Stegostoma tigrinum: one gene and its partners. The protein of the gene in region 2 binds, or shares a complex with, the protein of the main gene of each other region. Links are inferred from orthologs where the notes say so. Each region holds a gene or a part of one and is shown on either strand. Other genes may lie near its edges.

The links.
Region 1: MICOS complex subunit mic25-a-like (region 2) and MICOS complex subunit MIC27-like share a complex: the UniProt entries of both Homo sapiens proteins name them as parts of the mitochondrial contact site and cristae organizing system (MICOS) complex. The link is inferred for Stegostoma tigrinum from reciprocal best matches to the Homo sapiens genes CHCHD6 and APOOL.
Region 3: MICOS complex subunit mic25-a-like (region 2) and micos13 share a complex: the UniProt entries of both Homo sapiens proteins name them as parts of the mitochondrial contact site and cristae organizing system (MICOS) complex. The link is inferred for Stegostoma tigrinum from reciprocal best matches to the Homo sapiens genes CHCHD6 and MICOS13.

The regions. Positions count from the first base shown.
Region 1 is NC_081368.1:65,800,456-65,808,002, forward strand, and holds the start of MICOS complex subunit MIC27-like, read right to left. Parts: upstream 3,042-7,547; 5' UTR 2,980-3,041; coding exon 2,944-2,979; intron 1-2,943. UniProt on the Homo sapiens protein: Component of the MICOS complex, a large protein complex of the mitochondrial inner membrane that plays crucial roles in the maintenance of crista junctions, inner membrane architecture, and formation of contact sites to the outer membrane.
Region 2 is NC_081364.1:5,900,492-5,908,395, forward strand, and holds the start of MICOS complex subunit mic25-a-like, read left to right. Parts: upstream 1-4,809; 5' UTR 4,810-4,899; coding exon 4,900-4,980; intron 4,981-7,904. UniProt on the Homo sapiens protein: Component of the MICOS complex, a large protein complex of the mitochondrial inner membrane that plays crucial roles in the maintenance of crista junctions, inner membrane architecture, and formation of contact sites to the outer membrane.
Region 3 is NC_081383.1:9,018,888-9,026,600, reverse strand, and holds the start of micos13 (MICOS complex subunit MIC13), read right to left. Parts: upstream 3,034-7,713; 5' UTR 2,991-3,033; coding exon 2,962-2,990; intron 463-2,961; coding exon 306-462; intron 1-305. Other genes in the region: hsd11b1la (hydroxysteroid 11-beta-dehydrogenase 1-like protein), read left to right, coding at 5,267-5,354, 5,773-5,828. UniProt on the Homo sapiens protein: Component of the MICOS complex, a large protein complex of the mitochondrial inner membrane that plays crucial roles in the maintenance of crista junctions, inner membrane architecture, and formation of contact sites to the outer membrane.

The DNA of each region.
Region 1 (7,547 bases), on a different chromosome or scaffold from region 2:
AGAACACTTGCCACGGAGTCCAGTACATGATAAGAACCTGTGCTTGGGAATTTTTTTTTAAATGAATGGTTGCTGTTGTGCACAGTACAGGGAGGGAATGGCTGAGTGGTATTATCACTGGACTGTTACTACATAGACCTGGATAATATTCTGGGGACCTGGATTTGAATCTCCCCACGGCAGACAGTGGAATTTGAATTCAATAAAAAAGTCTGGAATTAACAATCTAATGACCTTGAATCGACTGTTGGGGGAAAAAACCCATCTGGCTCATTAAGGTCTTTTAGGGAAGGAAACTGCCATCCTCACCTGGTCTGGCCTACATGTGACTCCAGGTCCACAGCAATGTGGTTGACCCGGAAATGCCCTCTGGGCATTTAGGGATGGACAATAAATGCAGCCTAGCCAGCGATGTTCTCTCATTAACGAACAAAGAAAAAGAAAACTAAACCATAGTTCTGGCCAATTGGAAACTGTTAAGCTCTTACCACCTATTTCTGTATTTGAAGGGTTTACCGGTTGATGTTCGACCTGTTTGGCCACATGATGAGCACAACTTCCACGGCCATTGAGCAGGTAAACTGAATCTGACCATGGAGCTCCTGCCTTGCTGTGTCACAAGAGCTCTTTAGAAAATGTGGAGCTTACTCAGTGAAAAAGGCCACACAACCACATTTAATTCAGCGCTGTCAATTTAGAAAATCTTCTCTCAGAGATTTGGAATCACCAGATTTAGGACTTGCGCTCCAAACCCAACTCTGGCTTTTAAAGTCTTATCTAACAAAGATGTTGCCAGGGTTGCAGGGCTTGAGCTATAGGGGAGAGGCTGAATATGGTTGGACTATTTTCCTTGGAGTGTTAGAGGCTGAGGGGTGACGTAATACAGGTTTATAAAATCATGAGAGTAATGGAGAGGGTGAACAGCCTTTTCCCCAGGGTAGGGGAGTCCAAAACTAGAGGACAATAGTTTAAGGTGAGGGGAAAGATTTAAAAGGGACCTGGGAGCAACCTCTTCCTGCACAGGGTGGTGTGTGTATGGAATGAGCTGCCAGATGAAGTGGTGGAGGCTGGTAAAATTACAAGATTTAAAAAAACATCTGGATGGGCACGTGAATTGGAAGGAGTTAGAGGGATATGCGTCATATGCTGGGAAATAGGACTAGATTAATTTTGGATATTTGGTCAGCCTGGACGAGTTAGATCAACTCTATGTAAACGATAGTGCATTAATGTGAGAAGAGTCTCAGTTTAATAAGCACTCAACACTGCACTGTTTCCTTTCAGGCACTGTCACTTGAGCATGGTTTAAGGAAAACTAAAATGGAAAACAACAAAATCATTGCATTCTTTGTTGAAGTTGAGGCACTTTGGTGAGGCATGGTGACAGCAATTTTATTGTCTAGCTGCACCATATCTGACAATGGGAATGTTTGATATTAAATGTCTCATGTTCCCAAGTGTTGACAAAGTGTATCATAACAGCATTCACACCAGATATAAAATATAATATGCATTTTCACTAAGTGTTATACAGCTGTTCACTGCAAATCAAGCAGATATTAATATTTTACCACACCCTTTTTAAAAATGTTAGTTCCTTCAGCAATCTAAACCCTAGGAGCTAGGATTCCCACTCGAAATGTCTCTCCCTTCCTTTAGGACAGAATTTAAAACATAATTGTTGAACAAGGTTTTGGACACATGTCCTAATATTTCACGAGGTCTGGAACTACACTTTCTTTGATAACACTCCTATGAAGGAATATTTACATCAAACAAATCCTAAACATACACAGGTACATACCCACAGATATTTTCTTAACACAGCATATGGCATAATGGCTAGCACTGCTGCCTCACAGTATCAGGAACTCAGGTTCAATTCCATCATTGGGCAACTGTCTGTGTGGAATTTGCACATTCATCCCGTGTTGGTGGAGGTTTCCTCCCACAGTCCAAAGACGCGCAGGTTCGGTGGACTGCCATGATAAATTTCCCAAAGTGTTCAGGGGTGTGTAGATTAGGTGGCTTTTAGGGATGGATCTGGGTGGGATGCTCTGAGGGTCAGTATGGACTTGTTGGGCCAAAGGACCTGTTCCCACACTGTAGAATTCTGAGTTATGCACAGCTGATCACACCATCTCCCACCTCTGCTTCAGTGGCCAGATGGGTGGAGTTACACTCCCAGCTCAATTCTCATTTATCTGACATTAGTCACTTGCTGTAGCTTCTTTATCTGTTTTGTCATTATGATCACTGGTGTCACCCAAAAGGATCTATCCTTGCTTCCTCTCTCCCAACTACCCTCAATTCCTCAGAGTGTAAGTAACCCCCGGCAATATCATCAGAACGTACAGTGACCATCTCCACCTCAAATAAAGGCAAAACATTGTGGATGTTGGAAATCAGACACAAACAGAGAATGTTGGAAAAAGAAACAGAATTAATGCTTCAAGTCCGCTCCGGCACTTGTTCAGTTCCGACCGAGACAGATCAGACCCGAAACATAAATTCTGTTTCTCACTCCTCAGGTGCATTCAGGCCTGAATTTCTCCAGCATTCTGTCTCTGCTCCAGGTCCAGGCAGCCTGCCCCACACCTCCTAAAAATACCAAGGTTATTTGCCAATTAACACCTCTTTGATCAAGCTTTGGTCATTTGACCCTATTTCTTTATGAGGCTGAATGCTGTTATTCTAGAATGCTCCTGTGAAGCGCACAGGTATGGTTCGTCGCTTTAAAGGCGCTACATGAATGTACCTTGGTGCTGATCCACAAACTCTCACACAGAGGCCAACTTTCTGATAACATCTTATCATTCAGACTGTCAGTCCATACAAACGCCCGGAGTCCTGCTGCCCTGGACCACAGTAGCACAATAAAATGAGTAACGGCCGCTAGGACCCCGCCTCTCACGTTCGCACAACAGGCCTGCGGACACTCACCTGAAACGCCATCACGACACCGCCGGCTCCGGGCATGCGCAGTGCCCGAGGAACCGGCGCCAGAACATGATCAGTCCACGAAGAACACGCCAGAACATGCGCAGTGCCGGAGGAGCAGGCGCCAGAACATGCGCAGTGTCCGAGGAGCCGGGGACAGAACATGGGCTGAGCCGAGCAGGCGGTGTCGAAACATGCGCAGTGCACGAGGTGCCGGCTTTGGAACTTACAGACTGCCCTCAGAGATAGTGGGAACTGCAGATGCTGGAGAATCTGAGACAACAAGGTGTAGAGCTGGATGAACACAGCAGGCCAAGCAGCATCAGAGGAGCAGGAAGGCTGACTTTTCCCTTCTCCAGAAGAAGGGCCTAGGCCCGAAACGTCAGCTTTTGTGACCCGGTGTTGGAGCATGCGCCTTTCACCACGGCATTGACGTCCATCACATGCGCAAAACTTTCAGCGCCGGCTCTAAGGTCTTGGGAGTGCCTGTGCTGACCAGAGTCATGTTAATTGGGATAATTATCATCACTAAAGTCATCTTCATAGGCAACTTATCATCACCAGGGTCGTCCCCATGGGAAACGTATCACCCACAAGGGTTTCTTTTTATATTCCCCATGAGGATGACTCTGTTGATGACACAGTACCCAGTGAAGATGTCTCTGACGATATGTGAAACAGCTTGGAAGGCTTTTAATACAATAAAGGGTATGGATAAGCTTGATTTAGTTGTTGTTTGAAGAAACACGCAGTCAAAGAGAGCTCCCCACGATTATGTATGATGGGGACTGCATATGTGGAAACGGATACCCTCTGGGACAAGTCTCAGCAAATGGAGTCGCAAGCCAAAAGACATGCTGCAACTATAATCACATTTGTAGAAAAAAAACCTTCAAATATCGACAGACCCCAGCAACACACAGCCTCTCAAATACTGACTCACAAGTCAGAGGCATGCCTAACCATTACCTTCTCAATTACTGATACAGTCCCCCAGGGACAATACCCCATCGCTAACAATACTGACACATATCCCAATACCTAGAGAAAATGAAAAGTTCGGACAAGCTTCACGGGAGGCTGCTGAGTAAGGCGAGGGCCCACGGTGTTCAAGGTGAGCTATTGGTTTGGATTGTGGATTGGCTGTCTGACAGAAGGCAGAGAGTTGGAATAAAAGGCTCTTTTTCAGAATGGCAACCGGTGACAAGTGGTGTCCCGTAGGGTTCAGTTTTGGGGCCGCAACTGTTCACTTTATATATTAATGATCTGGATAAAGGGACTGGGAGCATCCTGGCGAAGTTTGCCAATGATACAAAGATAGGTGGACAGGCAGTTAGTACTGAGGAGGTGGGGAGGTTGCAGAAAGATTTAGACAGTTGAGGAGAGTGGTCCAGGAATTGGCTGATGAAATTCACCGTGAGCAAATGCGAGGTCTTGCACTTTTGAATAAGGAATACAGACATGGACTATTTTCTAAATGGTGAGAAAATTCATAAAGCCGAAGTACAAAAGGATCTGGTAGTGTTGGTCCAGGATTCTCTAAAGGTTAATTTGCAGGTAGTGTCCGTGATTAAGAAAGTGAATGTAATGTTGTCATTCATCTCAAGAGGGTTGGAATATAGAAGCAGCGATGTACCCCTGAGACTTTATAAAGCTCTAGTTATGCCCCATTTAGAATACTGTGTCCAATTTTGGGCCCCACACACCTCAGGAAGGACATACTGGCACTGAAGCGTGTCCAGCGGAGATTCATACGGATGATCCCTGGAATGGTAGGTTTAACGTATGATGATGGGCTGAGGGTCCTGGGATTGTATTCATTAGAGTTTAGAAGGTTGAGGGGAGATCTAATAGAAACTTACAAGATAACGCATGGCTTAGAAAGGGTGGACACTGGGAAATTGTTTCCATTAGGTGGGGAGACTGGGACCCTTGGGCACAGCCTTAGAAATAGAGGGGGTCAATTTATAACGGAAATGAGGAGACATTTCTTGAGCCATAGAGTGGTCGGCCTGTGGAATTCATTGCCATGGAGCGCAGTGGAGGCCGGGATGTTAAATATCTTCAAGACAGAGGTTGATAAATTCTTGATCTCACAAGGAATTAAGGGCCATAGGGAGAGTGCTGGGAAGTGCAGTTGAAATGCCCATCAGCTATGATTAAATGGCAGAGTGGACTCGATGGGCCGAATGGCCTTAATTCCACTCCTATGTCTTATGGTCTTATGGTCTAAGCAAAACAAAGACGAGCATGAGAATTTTTGGAAGCCTGGTTTTCAACTACTGGTACCATAAACAAGCATGTTGAAATAGACCCCAACAACATAACATTATGGAGTGAAACCAGAAACACAACTATCCACCATAACAGACTGGACCATATAATTTCAGAAGAGAATAGAACAGCACTTCAACGGAGGCTAGACAGGACTGAAGATGTCACCTAACCAGTCAGCTCGGCGAGCAACCAACAACTCCAGCGACAGATCTTTGCTAAAGAAAATAAAGAATTTAGACACAACTTGACCTTTCAAAACTTTGAAGATGCGTGAAACAGTTCACAGTCAATTAAATACTTTGATGTTTTTAGTCTTGTAATTTTAGACACCGTGGCAGAATTGAGAGAAAGGCTACCTTGGCAAGGGTTGGGGGCAGATGTGAAAGATGATGAATGGCAAAAATCCACAAATTTATTCAGGTGCTAGAAGGAATGCGCCAAATCTTTTTGGCAACTCAATAAAGAAAACATAAAACTTATATTTTGGGGAAATGGTACAGTGGTAGTGTCCCTACCTCTGGGCCAGACAGTTTGTGTTTAAATCCCACCTGCTCCAGTGATATATCACAAAATATGATCTAGGAAAGCACAGTGTGGTTGTGCTCTTTCATTAACAAATTTAGAAAAGATTAATTCACCCACATAATGGGACCAAGCATCAAATTTATATATGCCTGACCAATTCGTGTATCCACTCCTGGCCGATATGGCAGGCAAAGCACTTAAACAAAAGGGTATGGAGGAGCCAATCATCCACTATGCTGTATCTTCAGGTGCCCAATTAAAGAGAAGATTGGAGCATGCAGTACCTTGTTCAAATACCACCAATTACACTGTTGGTAATCTTGGTGGAGAATTGGTATGAAATCCTGATGGGTGTCAATATGTTGACCCTATTGTGGGTACAGAGAAGAAGGAATATTGACTTGTGCTATAAAACTGAGGCTAAAAGACAAACTCCTTTCGACATTTAAGGGGTCATTCTACTCAATCTACAATCCAGTCATTCAATTTATTGGGGCTTGTGATATTCAGGACATGAACCCAAAAGGAGATACAGTAGCTCAGTGGTTAGCAATGCTGCCTCACAGCGGCAGGGACCTGGGTTTGATTCCAGGTGAACGTCTGTGTGGAGTTTGTATGTTCTTCCTCTGTCTACTCCGATTTCCTCCCACATCGAAAGATGTGCATATTAGGTGGCTTGGCCATTGAAAATTACCTTGTGGTGTCCAAAGATGTGCAGACTGGGTGGATTAGCCTTGGTAAATGTGGGATTACAGGGATAGGCTGGGATGCTCCTTGGAGGGTCAGTACAGACTTGATGGGTTAAAAGGCCTCCATCTACACTGTTGGGATTCTATAAAAGCTGAGGATCTATTGGCAGTCACTTTATTTCCATCGAACCGAGGGGTCTATAGAGTATACAGCATTATTTTGGTCCATAAATTTGTAATATTTGCCTACCTATCCTCTCGTAAAACCATTGTTAAAAGAATGTCAGTCAAGCTGTTACACTGAGTTTTTGAGCTGTTTGTCAGGATTCAATTTGTATTCATACCTTTTGCCTTGTGTAACAGTAATTTGAACTGTTTATATCACAGCCACTTGCATGTAACAGCATCCTATCTTGCAGTAAACTAAAACAATCTCAGCTTTTGAACAGCCAAATACTGTTTGTGTTTTTTCAAAACATTGGCACACTCCCTGTAACAGCAGTGATGAATTAACAATTGCTGCAGCTGATATAAAACACATCCGAAATCCTCTGAAACAACCTACTGAGATTTATTACATAAATATTGATCCTTAAATGTGCATTTCCCAAACATTCAGACCCTTTGGATCACGAGATGCTGCAGCTTTTACCAAGTAAGAAGCTAAGCAACAATTAAAGGTTGAAGGTAGGGGTTGAAAGCATCAGATAAATTAGTTTTTCTTCTTATGGATGTGATGCTGGATATTATACCTTTTTTGATCAGGCTGAAACTGGATAACCTTGTCACTGAGGTTTTCAAAGATTAGGCAAGCGTTCTTTTTTGTGAAATGTACTTGCAGATTCATGTAATTACCATGACGAGAAAATATTGATTCTATCCACCATCTGCTGTATTGGCTGTTTTCTTGATCATTATCAGTTGGAAGAAATGGGCTTAGATAATTCCATGTTGTTAATTTTTAGCTAAATTGGAGAAAACCAGTGTACTAATAAAGATGAGCCAGGGAAACAACAGACCTAGTAGTCTTATAACCCTCACTGCAATCGAATGAAAATCATTATTACAGAAAAAATACTTAAGGTTACACTTGCCTTCATTGGGCAATGTTTTGAG
Region 2 (7,904 bases):
TAGACAATGTAAGGCAAGGACCATCTCCAATAAGAGACAGTCTAACCATCACAATGACATTACCATCAGTGAATTCCCCACTATCAACATCCTGGAAGTTACCATTCACCAGGAAGTAAATTGGACTAGTCAGGTAAATACAGTGGCTACAAGAGCAGGTCAGAGGCTAGGAATACTGTCATGAGTAACTAGCCTCTTGCCTCCTCAAAGCTTGTCCACCATCTACAGGGTACAAGTCAGGAGTGTGATAGAATACTCCCTAGTTGCCTAGATGAGTGCCTCCAACAACATTCAAGAAGCTTGACACCATCTAAGACAAAGCAGCCCCTTGATTGGCACACACTCGCGCCTGTTCAGATGCTCAGCAGCAGCAGTGTGTACCACTTATATCATGCATTGCTTGGATAGAGGCTCCTTAGCCAACACTTTCCAAACTCCCAACCACTGATCTAGAAGGACAAGTCAGGGGAAACATGAAGGACACAGAAGAGCTAGTTCCCTTCCAAGCTACTTATCACCCTAACTTGGAAATATATTACTGTTCCTTCACTGTAGCGGGGTCAAACTGTGGAGCTGCCCCTTGCTATGGCATTGTGGGTCTATCTATAGTTGTTGAAGGAGGCAGCTCACCACTACCTTTAGCCAAAATGCTGGCCTAGCCAGTGATGGTCACATCCTATAACTATACGTACATCCAGAAATACGTCAGAAACAAGAATAGGCAACTCTGCCCTGTCAGTTTATAAACCCTTTGACTGTGTTTGCCTTACCCAGATAACATTTGACTGTTCTTGGCCAAGAATCTATGCCTACCTTAAAAATATTCAATGATCCTGCCTGTTGCGGCAGAGAGTTCCAAAGTTTCACTACTGTGAGAAGAAAAAAAAATTGCCCTTGTCTCTGTCATAAGATTGACAACCCTGAAATTTAAACTCTGTCCCCACAGTTCTAGTCCCTCTCACAAGGGGAAAACTTCCTTTCACCGTCCATTCTGTCCAACCCTCTCTGGATGCTACATATCAATCAAGTCACCTCTGAATCTTCTAAACTCCAATGGATATAGACTCAACCTTTCCTCGCTCAGTAACCTCCCATCCCAGGAACTAGTTGAAGTAAACTTATCTGAATTGCTTCAAAAGCATTTACATCTTCCCTTAAGCAAGATCAAAACTGTACAAAATATTCCAGACTTGGCCTCTCCAAAAACTGCAGCAAAACATCTCAACTTTTATATTCCATTTTCCTTGCAGTAAACAAAAACATTCTGTTTGCCTTCCTAATTTCTTGTTGTACCTGTAAACTAATTTAATGCGATTCATGGGCCAGGGCACCCAGATTGTCTGCCTGCCTATCTACACGTGTATTTCGTAACAACGTACAATGAAAAGTATTGTCCACTCTCTGGCACCGACCTAGAACACAACGGGAGTTAAGTGCTCTGTAATGGGTCTGGTGGCCAGTCACGAGTCCCCTTCTCTGTACCACTGCTACTGAAACAAAAGTTGCCACTCTCCAGTGCCATCTCACCTGCTCCAACATCCTCTCCACTTTGAGACCTTTGTGGATTTGCCAGTGCAGTTGCCAGGTACTGCACCAGTCTAAACTCAACTTTGCTGGTGCCATGAGTCTGCTTTGGGACTACTTTGCTAAGGCGCTGCTGCTACTGGGTCTCATACTAGGCCCAAATTTGCCTTTGCTTCTGTGAATCTGTGCTGAATATGGACGCTGCTGGGAAGCCAAACTTGCCTCTGCCGCAGGAGGCATGAGTTGGTGCTAGGACCACCTCTGACGCAGAAGCACTGGGCTTGCTCACTGCTGCCAGTGCAGTTGCTGTGACTGAGCTCTTCAACAAGAGTTAAGTAAAAGAAGGAAAAAAGTGAAAAGCGGATGATCCCCAGGCTGAGGAGCCCAACTCTGCGGCCATCCACACCTCAGATCCCGCTGCACGTCAGACTTCTGCAAAGGTCCTGATTCAAAACATCAACTTTCCTGCTCTTCAGATGCTGCCTGGCCTGCTGTGTTCCTCCAGCTCCACACTGTTGTCTCTGACTCCAGCATCGGCAATTCTTACTATCTCCTATAAAATATATGCTGCTTATCCATTTGAAAATAAGAAATGGGCCCAGCTCAAAACTTATTGAAAGTGAGGAAGCAGTTGTCTGCTGCTGAGAGATTCACAGAATCAACTGGAGAAATCTTTGGGGGGTGGGGCGGGGGAGACTCACAGTCGGTGCTGCTACTGCCAAGCCAAAGGAAAGGACAGTTTTTAGGTTAACCACCAAGCAAGAATGTTGATACAGATGGATTACCAATTTGTAATCGAGTTTTGAGAAGATTTGTAGCTCAGGTTGAGGTTCTGGATGTGAGTTTGCTCGCTGAGCTAGAAGGTTAGTTTTCAGACGTTTCGTCACCATTCCAGGCAACATCAGCAGTGAGCCTCCAACGAGAAAGTGGGACATAACACCAGCGCTTCGTTGGAGGCTCACTGATGATGTTACCTAGAATGGTGACGAAACGTCTGAAAACTAACCTTCCAGCTCAGCGAGCAAACTCACATCCAGAACCAATTGTAATGGTTGGAATTATACCTGGCACAATGGAAGATGGTTGTGGTGATTGGAGGTCAATCATATCTACACGTGGCATCACTGCTGGAGTTCCTCATGGGTAGCATCCTTTGTCCAACCATCTTCAGCTGTTCCATCAACAACTTGTGCTTCATCATAAGGTCAGAGAAATGGATGCACACTGATGATTGCATATGTTTAGTAACATTTGCAGCTCCTCAGATACAGAAGCAGTCCATGTCTATTTGCAGCAAAACCTTGAGGCTTTGGCTCATAAATGGTGAATAATATTGTCTCACACAAATATCAGGCAGTGACCATCTTCAAAAAGAGACAATTTAAACATTTCTACTTCTGTATCAGTGAATCTCTTGATATCAAGTCCATCAGGATTTCCATTGACCAGAAACTTAATTAAATCAGCCATTGGCTACAGAGTAGAAATGACACGTTTCTATCAGACTATTGAGGAAACGCCTTCATTTCACACGATTGGATATTTGAATGAATATGCAATTAATGGATAGAGTTGCTCACTAATCCAAGTATGAAACTTACCAAATTTAGCCATTTCGATGATCAATCTCGTAAAGATTACCAAAACATGCAGGAGACTAATCTTTTAATCTTGTACGCAACAGTGTAGGATGCAAGAAACAGACCTGGGCGGGGGAAAAAAATACCAATTGTACACTTGAGAAAATGTTGCTGATTAGTTGGGCCATTGATGCCATGGAGATACAACATGACCCCAACTGTCAATCTTCGTTTTCAGGCCAAGCAGGTAGACTTTTACGAGTCAAGATAGTTGCCACGAGAAAGTAATAGTTTTATGACCCACTGGGGAAGCATACTGTTTATTGAGGGCTGATATTTCTGGAATTGAATCAAACATTTTAAAAAAATCATTTAAAGTGTACACAGTACCCCAATTTATCAGACATTCAGGTTAATCAAAAGCTTGGGCTAGGTTTGTGTACAAGCCAAGAATTATTAGTTATTACAAGTAATTATACTGCAGCTACAGGTAAGCAAATATAAGCTATTAGCATGCAATGCTAGGAGCCGAAGATTAGAATTTTGAGTTTGCCCCTCCCACATATACCCCACAAATAGGGAAAGTAGATTATTGGCAAAGGTAGAAAAATTTGGAGTGTAAGTTCAGTCGTCTTTGCTTCCAGTTTTGATGTGTTGAGATGATACTTCTTTGGCTGCTGTTGTTATTCAGATATCTTTTTCTGCTTGCTTCCGTAGGTTAATGAGAAGTACAGAATATCACTTTACATCCTTGCTAATATTTTTGTCCTGGGCCTGCTATACTGTTCCAATGAAACTCAATGCCAGCTGGAGGCCTCAGTATGATTTATGACCTCCATTATTCTTATATCCTTTCTCCAATAGAAAACCTACCCGCCCTGGCTCTGTGTATGTTTGCCTTTGCCCTCAAAGTGGATGTAATTTCTCTTATTCACACCTAACGTTTACACCCAATTTCTAACCTTCTTTCTCTGTCATTAAAATTTCCTTTGTCTGTTGTTCTGTGCATCTTCACGATTTGTTATAACTGCTTTTAGTGATGCCCCCATCAACTCCACTAGAAAACACCCTTGGCCTTTGTTCGTTGGGGGGAAGAATCATGTTCAGATGCTGCTCGAGGCGCGATTATGCTTGTGTACAGCAACACCTTGTGGTGGGCAGCGGACATATATCAGTGCCTCATGTGGCAGGTAGGAAAAGGTGTTGCGGCTTCAGCCCAGCATTTATTGCCCATCCCTAATTGCCCAGAGGGCAGTTAAGTGTCAACCACACTGCTGTGGGTCTGGAGTCACATGTAGGTCATAACAGGTAAGGATGGCAGCTTCCCTCCGTAAAAGATGTTAGTGAACCAGATAGATTTTTCTGACAATTGACACCAGTTTCATGGTCATTATTAGACTCCTAATTCCAGATATTCTATCAATTCAAATTCCACCATGGCGGGGTTCGAACCCGGGTTCCCACAGTTTTACTCGGGCGATCCATTAACAGTCCAGTGATAACATCCCTGGACAATTATCTTCTCCAGCAACGCCTCCTGTGGCGGATGCGGGGAGGTACGGCAATGCACACGGCTAAAACTACAACACCCAGAGGGCCGTGCGGTTGCGCATGCGTCCAAGACGGTTTGTTGCTGCGGCCATGCGCAGCGTCCATCAGGACGCGCTATGATTGGTCCAGTATGGCCGCGACGTCAGGCCACGCCTACTGGTCCAATCGCGTGGGAGGTTACTGGAGGGGGCTTTCGGTCTTTAATGTGCGTTTAGGCAGGAGGATCGTATCGGAGAGACCGTGGATGGGGGCCAGCGGTAGCACCAGGCGTGTGTCTTTCGGCAAAGACGATCAGGAACGAGTGACAGTTTTGCAGGGAATGAGGGTGAGTGAGGTTAGGGGGTGATGGATGGGGGTGGGTGATGGGTAATGGGAGGATGGAGGGATGATGGATGGGAAAGGGGTGATGAGGATGAATAGGAATGATATGATGGGAAAGGGATGAGGAGGTTGAGGGATGATGTCTAGGACCGGATGGGAGCGAGGAGGAGGAGGAGTTGATAGATGGGAATTTGGTGATTTTGGAAATTTGGAAAGGGTGTTGGGAAGACTGTGGGATGACTCATGGGAGGGCAGTGGAGAGGATGGATTCATGATGGATGGGGTGGTGTAGTGGAGGGATATTGGACAGGGTTAGTGGGGGAAGGGGAGGGGTGATGGCTGGGAGGAGTTGAGGAGGAGGATGTGATGGATGGTGGCTGGGTGGGGTTAAGGAGAAAGTTGAAAAGAAAGGATGGGGTGGGAGGGGGCGAGAAGGTAGGGATGGTGGTTGTGTGGGTGTGAGATGGAAAGTGGATGATAAATAGGAGTGTGTTGGAAAAGAGGGTGGGATGTAGGATAGAAGGAAGTGAGGGATGATGATTGAGGGGGGAATTGGATGGGAGGGTTTGGGGAGGAGAGAAGGATGATTGATGTTAAGGGGAGTGTAGGATGGATTGGGAGTGTAGCGGGATGATGGATGGGAGGAGGCTGGATGGCGAAGAAGGATGATGGGTTAGTAAGGGGCTGGATAGGATCGAGATCGTGCAGGAAACGATGTGGGGAATGATGAGAGAAGGCAGGTGGGGATGTGTGGGTGGGGGAGGGATTTTGGGGATGTGGGTGAAATAGGGTGTTGAATGGATGCAGTGAGAGATGAGGTGGATATGGGGATGAGGGCGGGTGTATGGGATGAGGGAGAGATGGGAGGCCGTGTGGTTGTGAGAGTGTAGACGTGGTGGAGGCAAAGGGACCATGACAGGTGAATAGCAGGGGGTGGAGGGATGACGGCAAGATGGGAATTGAGAGAGGTGATCATTCATTCACAACCCTACACAGTAGGTAGTGGTACGGGTTTTATTAGATTTGAATCCTATTTGGTACACTTGGAAATTTAACCTAACCCACATTCTTACATGCAATTGTCATTCACCACTCCTCTTCCCCCTAAAAAAAATCTTGCTTCTAACAACAAGGGTGAACATAGGGCTTCTATTCCTCTCTTTTGATTTGATTTTATTTATTGTTGTCACATGTACTGAGATACAGTGAAACGTGTTGTTTTGCAAGCCTTGCTGGTAGATTGTACCATACAAGCTGCATCGGGTCGCAGAACGAAGTGCAGGATACAGTGTTAGAACTGTGGAGAAGGTGCAGAGATAGAGAGAGATCAATCTCAATCGTTCCTCAGATAATTAGTGGTTAGAACCTTCTTCTGTCACCTACTTTGTCATTTGAAATGACTTTGTCATTTTGACCTGTTCTCCTGACTGGTTAATTTTCCTAACACCCTACTATTTAAATGTAGCAAAGTCTCTTTGTCCTTTTTCCACCACCTCCATAGCTTCAGTCTCTTCAATCTGGGCTCCTGATGGCAAATTGGAATCTGATTTTTATGTGGAATTGAAAAGGAAAGTCAAATCTCTTTTTAGTCAATAACCAGCATTAAGTGTTGGGGAAACTAATGAGGTTAAAGATAGATAGGTCCCCTAGACCTGGTGGGATACTTCTATACATCAGTGGAGCTGAGGTGGAGATGATTGAGAGCATCAAGCTCCTCGGAGTGACAATCACCAATAATCTGTCTTGGACTACCCACGCTGATGCAATGGCCAAGAAGACACAAGGATGTCTCTTCTTCCTCAGAAGGCTATGGAAATTCAGCATGTCCATAAGGATGCTTAACAACTTTTACCGATGCACCATAGAAAGCATTCTATCTGGACACATTATGGCTTGGTACAGGAACTGCTCTGCCCAGGATGGTAAGAAACTACAGAAAGTTTTGTGCACAACCCAGACTATCACACAATTCAACCTTCCATCCATTTCTTGTTGCTGTAGAAAAACAGCCAACATCATCAATGACCCCTCCCACCCCAGTTATAATCTCTTCCACCAGGCAGAAGATACAAAAGCTTAAACACACGTACCAGCAGGTTCAAGAACAACTTCTTCTCTGCTGTTATTAGATTTGAGTGGACCTCTCAAATTTCAAATTTAATGTTGATTTTGTATTTTGTGTACCTTCTTTGCAGGTATAACTTTGTATTCCTCATTCTGTTCAATCACACTATCACCTTTGTGTCTTTGTATGCTATAATCTGCGTGTACTGCATGCAAAACAGAAGTTTTCACTGTACTTAGATACATGTGAGACAATGAAAAGTCAAATCAAGTCAAATGTTAAAGGAAGTGAATACAGAGATGGTGGGTGCACTGATAGTAATCATTTGGCAACCAAACAAATTTAAAGGCTTTGTATCTGAATGCACAAAGCATTTGAAATAAAATTAATGAGCTCATGTCAGATCAGTCATAAACCTATTGAATGACAGAGCGGACTCAAGGGCTGAACTGCCTCTACTTAATCCTATTGCTTATGATCAGGAGAGTGAGCATTCCTTGGGTGGGAATATTCACCTGCTGGCTTTATCCTTCTTGGGCAAGGAAGTTGTGGTTTGCTTTTGAAGTGCGTTGGTAGGTTTGCTGCAATGCGACAGGGCTTTCTTTGCTGTCACCAAGACAATATATGGACCCAACAACTAAATGAAAGAAATCAAAAGAACTATGCATGCTGGAAGTCATAAACAAAAACAGAAATTGCTGGGATAAGTCAACGGAGGAATCCCTCTTCTCTCCAACAGCAGGTTATCACCTAAATCCTTGCTGAGGCATCTTCTCCCATCCTCAGAGGAAACCTTTCCTGAAAGCCTGTGTGGCTTTGACTAAACTGTAAAACTACAGGCATGATTTTCAATTCTTGACAAC
Region 3 (7,713 bases), on a different chromosome or scaffold from region 2:
ATGTTTTGCTATTACATCCTTTAGAATGGATTAACATTTTCCAACTAGCCATTTTCTAACAAGCCAGCTAGTTGCATCAGTCTCTTCTTGGGTGCAATTTTTCTCATATTCTTTCACTCACGCACACACACATATCCAACTACAGAGTCCCTGTACAATACTTTTGAACTCACGCCAGAAGTAAAGCTTCTTGGGCAACGGAACGGACGGCTTCTGGTAACAATGGCAACCCAGTTCAATCAAAACAGGAGCAGGAGAGAGGAGACAAAGAATAAACAAATATTTTCTCAGATTATATACTGTACCTCCACACCAAAATACTTGGCCCAGTGATCCATAGCAACCGGGAGCTCATCTGCCGTAGTCTTCAGTATCTCCAAACTGCGCTCCCCATTTCCAAATAAGTCCTGGTCATAAATAATGTACACAGTGCCTCCAATTATCCCAAACTTTGTGAAGAACCTTGAAACAAAACCATTAGGAAAAACAAAATAGGAACATGAATTCAACCTCACTAAAAAATGAGGACAATAATCAGTCTGGGCTCAAATAGATAAACAGTATGATTCCTCTGCTTTTAGATTTCAGACAACTGTTCTGCCTCAAACAACAACAAAACAATGAGTTTAACATCATTTGAGGTAACTTTCTTCTCCCAAACAGCATGTCTTTAAAGTAGATTGATCAGTCACTTAGCTTAAAATAGGTGACTGCATGTTGTCATTTCTTCTGGATAGCCATAAGACATGTGTGCAGAGGTCAGCTATTCGGTCCATCATGTCTGCTCCACCATTCAACGACATCATGGCTGATCTGAAAATCCTTAAGTCCACTTTCCTGCAATTTTTCCGTAATCCTTGATTTCTTTACTGATTAAAAATCTCTCACAACCTTGAAAAGACTTAATAATCCAGCCCTCTATGGTAAAGAATTCCACAGAAATTTCTCATCTGATTCAAACGTGCAAACCCTTATACTACAAATATGCCTCTGGTCCTATACTGTCCCCGTGAGAAGAAACCCACATTTCTGCATCAACCCTGTTCAGTCCAGAGAGAATCATGTCTGTTTCAATAAAATGACTTCTAATTCTTCTGTAATCAAGTGACCACAGACCCAATCTACTCAACCTCTTCTCAGAAGACAGTCCCTCCATGCCTGTTATCAGTGTCATGAACCTTATCTGGACTGCCTCCCAAGACAATATATCTTTCCTGAAATGAGGCCCAAAATTGTAATAGTATTCTAGCTATGGTCTGACTGTGTCTTATATAGTAAAATACTCCAATCAGAATGTCCCATTTGCCTTTCCTGTTACCTACTGATCTTGGATGCTCTTTGTGATTCAAAGACAAGAACTTGTAAATCTCTATTCTGTACCTTCCTGCAGTCTTTAAATAATATTTAACTCCTCTAACTTTCCTAACAAAGTACACCACTATCACAGGGTGTGATCCTGAAAATCCCGACTCTCAATGTTTTACAAACACAAACAAAAACAGAATTGCTCGAAAAGCTCATGAGATCTGGCAGCATCTGTGGAGGGAAATCAGAGCTAATGTTATGGGTCTGGTGACCCTTCTTCATGATTGGTCTTTAGCCCCACGAGTTTGTGATGACACTGTCACTTTATAAAGGTTATTTTGTCTTGGGTTTTTTTTGAAGAGGGGTTGTAAAGACATAGTTCCTGAAGTGGCGACAGGAGATGGCCTAAGTCAATTGTTTAAGAGGCCTTTAGATTTGTTTAAAAACAGTTGTAACAATGGAAGGGGAGTGGCCAGTTCTCACAAATCAGGCTCTACAGTAGTTTAGCTGTAGCTGTCAGAAGCTGCTCAAGTCCCAGAAGAGTTGGAGCTTCAGTAAATGATTCCTAACTGCGACTTTCTCTGAAACCTCTCAATGTTATTTTGTCCTGCGAGAAAGATTGTTTCTGAATTTACCTTTTTGCCAAGGGATATGTCTTTGGAATATTACTACATGGAACACTTAATTAGTGATATGTACCGTATCTGTTATTTGGTTAAGTTTTCCAATACTTAAGTTATTCCATATTCCTCTTTCTTTTGTTTGTATATTAACTGTAGTGTTTAAATAAATTGTATTTTGCTTAACATTGAGTAATTTTATCAGTTGTGTCACATCTGCAACACGCAGTTCACATCTACCTTTAAAATAAGGAAAAGTTAAGGTCTAGGCTACCTTCTTCAAATATTTTGAGGCGGTCTCCTTTTTATTCATTTACAAGATGAGGGTGTCACTGGCTAGGCCAGCATTTATTACCTATCCCTAACTGCTCTCTGGGCAGTTAAAAGTCACCCACATTGCTGTGGGTGTGGAGTTGCACTGTAGGCCAGGCAGGTAAGGACATTAGTGAACAAGATGGGTTGTTCCTGACAATTGACAATGCATTCACAGTCATCATTAGATTCTTAATTCCAGATACTGTATTGAACTCAAATTCCACTATCTGCCATGGCAGGAATTTGAGCCTAGGTCCCCATAACACTATCTGGGTCTCTGGATTAATAGTCCAGCAAGAATACCACCATTGTCTGCCCAGGTCTGGTCCACAACAAGCTTCCTGAGTACTTTTTCCTCTATTGCTAGTTAATAAATTTATTTCAGCTTCTCCAATTGCCCCTTGAATATCTTGGGATTTAAGAAAGCTTTTAGTGCCTGTGGCGATTTTGGTAAATTTGATGGAACGTTAAGTAAAAGTAGCAATTCTTATCATTCAAGAGCAGTTTTCAGTGTAACTGAGAGTACTGGGTCCATTAGCAGAGATATAAAACATCTGAAATAACAGAGTCCCCTCCCCCACTCCGGGTCGTTTACTCTGTCCTCACCCGCTGCCGCGCCCCCTCCTACCATAACACCTCTCCCCAGTCCCATACTTATTCCAAATTTACCCTCACCCCCGTCCCAAACTTGTTCCACAGTAACAACCCCATCGTCCCGAACCTGACAGCTTTGACAACCCCGGACGCCATGAGCGGTCTGTGCTCCTCCTGTGACCTTTCACCTTCCCGCCCCCGCTACGTCACTCCAGCTGCCGCAGCCACTCGGTTTTTAAAATTATTCCCGAACATCCCCTCCACTTCCCACTTTTTCCCCTCCCTCTCCGCCACTCTTCGGGCCCTCGATGCCCGTACTCCCGGTCCCTTCTCCGTAACCTTCCCTCTCACCCGTCAATCGGGCGGTGGGGGAGGTGTTTTTGACCTTCAGCCCGTTACTGGGCGCAGCCATCTTTGATACTGGCGGCTCCTCTCTGCCAGTCGCTTTGTGGACTAGGTTGGAGGTGCTATAGCAATGCAGGACTCCCATCCTCATCCTTCACCTAATTTATTTATTAATCTCCTGCACAGTTCAACCCAAGTTCCTCCCACACCACCTGCCAGGACCCAATATGAGAATTTTGCGAACGATGCACACTTTGTCAACTGTCTTAAAGCACAGGGGCATTTGGTGCCCAGACCACAGGCGAATTTAATTGACCCCAGAGAAATGGGAAGAGCTGTATTTTGTGGAGAGAACCAGGAGGGACAATATAAAATTACAGGATAAGCTAGGGGTACAAAAACAGAAAGGTGTGAGAAAAAATAATGTTCACAGGATAATTTCAGTGAGTGTGGCAAAGTGATACCCAGATCTTTTCTCACTTTAATCCTAATTTTAGGCTTCAAAGCTGTCGTGATCTCCAATTTAACACGAGAGCTGGGTAGGGGTGATTATTGGTGGATGGGTCGAGAGACCTATGAGAGTCTGAAACTAGAGGGCATAGGTTCAAGGAGAGGAGACAGTTTTAAAGGGGATCTAAGGGGCAACATTTTCACGCAGAGGGTGGTGTATGTATGCAATAAGCTTCCAAAGGAAGTGCTAGAGGCTGGTATGATTACAACATCTAAAAAGATGGGCATATGAATAGGAAAGGTTTAGAGGAATATGGGCCAAATGCTGGCAAATGGGACTTCATTTAGGATATCTGGTCGCAAGGATGAGTTGGATCAAAGGGTCTGTTGCCGTGCTGTACATTTCCATGATTCTATGAGGTGGGATGGGGTTCAGACCTCAAAGCAATTTTCCCTCTAAGCTGCATGCCAAATGTTGTGTGGACGCATTAGCCTCTGGCTCTGGAAGCCACTGACACTCAGGGACGTCAAAGGTCCTGCCACAGAACAGCAAGAAATATTAGATTTGTAGCCTGAGGGGGAGGGGCAGAGCAACACGCTGGCCACTGCTGCTTCTGATCCTGCGACTCCAAATGTTGAGGACGCTTCTTGTAATGACCATCCCCGTCGTGGGCATCAGGTATACTCTACTGCAGTTACTACAATTAGTCATAACTCCTTTCATTTTACCATTACAGCATTTCAGAGATCTGCGGGCATGCTGTCATCCTACTAGATGAGGGAGATCAGGTCATGTATCTGTGCCATGAGGGACATCAGGAGATCATGAGAATATAGGAGGTATGGTTAGGAAGTTTTCAAATGACACCAAAATTGCTGACATAGTGGACTGTGAAGAAGATTATCTAAGAGTACAAAGGGATCTTGATCAGATGGGCCAATGGCCTGAGAAATAGCAGATGGAGTTTAATTGAGATAAATGCGAAGTGTTGCGTTTTAGTAAGGAAACCAGGGCAGGACTTACGTAGTTAATGGTAGAACCCTGGAGAGTTGTTGAACATACTGATCTAGGGTTGCAGGTTCATAGCTCATTGTAAATGACATCACGAGTAAACAAGGTTCGTAAAGGCTTTTGACACGCTTTCCTTAATTGGGCAGAGCATTGAGTATAGGAGTTCGGACCTCATTTTGCAGTTGTACCAGACATTCGTGAGACTACTTTTGGAAGTGGTCTCACCAATGATTGACTAATGCTATTATTGCTGAACTGTTAATCCAGAGACCCAGGTAATGTTCTGGGAATCTGGGTACAGACTCTGTCAGAGCAAATAGTGGAAGTTGAATTTAGTAAAGTTTAGAATTAGAAGCCAGAAGTTAAGGGGTGGTTATAAAATATTGCAGTGACTACAAACCCTGATCCAGTGTCCCTTCATCAACATTCGACCACTTTGTTTCATGGAATAAATAACTTTAATCTTGCAATGCTGCAATTCAATCTAAAGTGAGCAGTAAAACTTTACGCACTTCTCAGAGATAGCCAATAAATACTAGTATTGCCAACAGCACTCACGATAACTAACGTGTCAATAAAACCTCTCATTCACCATGCTTTGCCGTTGGAATTTGGATACTCAGAAATGGCAGGCTTTAAAAGCTTTTTCATTCTCATTTTAACGGTTTCTGCAGGGCTTTTGGCAATATTGTGGAGAGACAATTTTGATTTTGGTAAGGAATTTTAAGGTTTTTGATGCAATTTATTCTGCAATCTTTAGGGTAAATTTGAGCTTTCCCAACTTTAATTGATCCAACATTGCTGAATATGCTGCAGCTGCCTATCTCCTAATCTCTGCAATTCCCTCCCTACACCTCTCCTCCTCTTACTGTGCTTTCCACTTTAGGACTCTTCTTAAAATGTAGCCCCTTGATTGAGCTTTTGGTCATCTGACTTAACATATTCTTGTATTCTCAGTATCAAATCTTATTTCATTACACTCCTGTGAAGCACCCTCAAAGTTTTTATTACCTTAAAAGTGCTGTGTACAAGTTGTTGTTGCTTTATTAGCTGTTTCTGTGTCATGTATTTGAGTGTGAATCATGTATTTGAGTGTGTGTTAAATTCACCTTTTTATTGTATTCCATGAAGAACACAAAAAATACACCCAGCAGGTGCTTTTAAAATCCAGACTCTTGACTAAGAAGGTGAGTGACACAGAGTTTGAGTTAGAGGGGCACAAAGTCCAGAATTTGGTGTGTGTGAGAGAGTGAAATAGAGAGAGAGAGAGACAGTCTTTAAGTGAGATGAGAGAAAGACAGCATCTCTGAGAAAAGAAAGCCTGAATGTATGAGTATGAGAAAGAGAGGCACAGCCTGTAAGCGGGATAGAGACAGTGTGTATGAGAGAGAGAGAGAAGGAGGGAGAGAGCGAAGGGCATGTTGTGTAAGGTTGCAGTTCTCTGAAAGTGTTAGTACTGAGGTGAGACCTAAACACACCCCTCAAGTGAGAGAGTAGATGGGTCTGAGAGAGTGAGGCAGAGAGTGTTTGTCAGTGAGAGAAGAGGTGGAGTGTTATGTGAAGAAGTGAAAGAGAAGGGGCCTGTGTGTGAAAATAACAGGGGAGGTGTGTGAATGAGGCACTGCGAAAACAGGGAGTGTGTGAGAAGGGGAGGGAGAGACTAAATGAGAACCTGGGACTGGGGATGAGCAGTGAACTCAACACGTCCTCTGAAACCTAACTATGCACTAAGCTGCATGAGGAGGAAAATCCAGTCAGTAAGGCCTTTTTCTCTCTCACTTTTGCATGAGTTTTGCCCAGGTCAGTTTGGAGGGTACAACACCAGATGTAATTGCACACTGATGTTTGTTAAAGCTAACACCTAAACTTAGCTCCTCTCATCTTCCCTTTCCCTGGTGATGAGGGGTTGCACTCAAGTTTATTTCTCACTGACACTTAAACAAAACAGCAACAAAAAGTTTTATCTGTTTTCTCTGCTACTTGACATTTTGAGAGGCAATTTTTTTTATTACTAATTGCTCATTTTTTAAGGTTATCAACTGATTTCTTTGGCATTTATTTTGCTCAAACTTGATGTTCACTTTCTTCATCCAAGCCATTTGATATATTGTAAACATAAAAACGTTTCTTCTTAAATCTGTGCACATTATTTCACCATTTACACATATCAGCCCTAGGGCTATCATTATCAAATTTGTGCTCTATGACTAGTTCAACAATCTACCGTTGTCACATCGGGGTGCTATTTTGACACAGTTTAATTGAGAATTCCAAGTGGTTATACAATGTGGGGCTCTGGATACAGATGCTTGATTTTATTTGGGATTAAGTACTTGGATGAATGTTGGGTTTTATGAGGGATTAGTAATCGATGAACGGGCTTTGATCAATGAACCATTTTTTAAAAATTGTTAAGTAATCAGTGGACACTTAGAATTTGATGTTATTCCTTCTCAACCTGAGTCCTGAGATGTGTCTCTGATGGATATGGTGTGAGTTAGCATGGAATGTGAAAGGACAAAAGGTGGTGGTTAGGGCTGTGGGTTGATGCTAGTAGATGCAAAATTGGCATGGGGTCTATAAGGGACCAGGAGAGTATGTTGGTAACCATATGTTGACCCCGGGGGTATAAGGGAATATGGGAGGATTTAAGCTGGCATGCACTGACCTGGATGAGGTATGAGGAGTGATTAGTGAGGAGTGAGAGTTGGAAGGCTGTCCTTTGCTTTCTTGGTCTCTCTTTCAACATGGGATGAAGCTCTAGAGCCAGCCTTTGAGACAATGTGCCTCAGCATCTGGTAGCCCTCTGTCTATCTCCAAACCCTTTTGGGATTGTCAGGCCCTGCTCCCATTAGTAACCCTCGCCCTGTAGGCTGAACCAAAGCTCCACCATCCAGGGCACTCCCTCCCACTTTAGGCTTATGGAGCTGAGGCTTATCCCAACTCTCTGTTCATAACGTAGGGGGTGAGAGGAGTGAACATCATGTCTGAGGGTCAGATGTGTGGCCTTTGGGGTGCTGGGGTGGTGGGTGGGAGGCATTGGAAGTAGCGGCAGGATGACACTGGTCCATT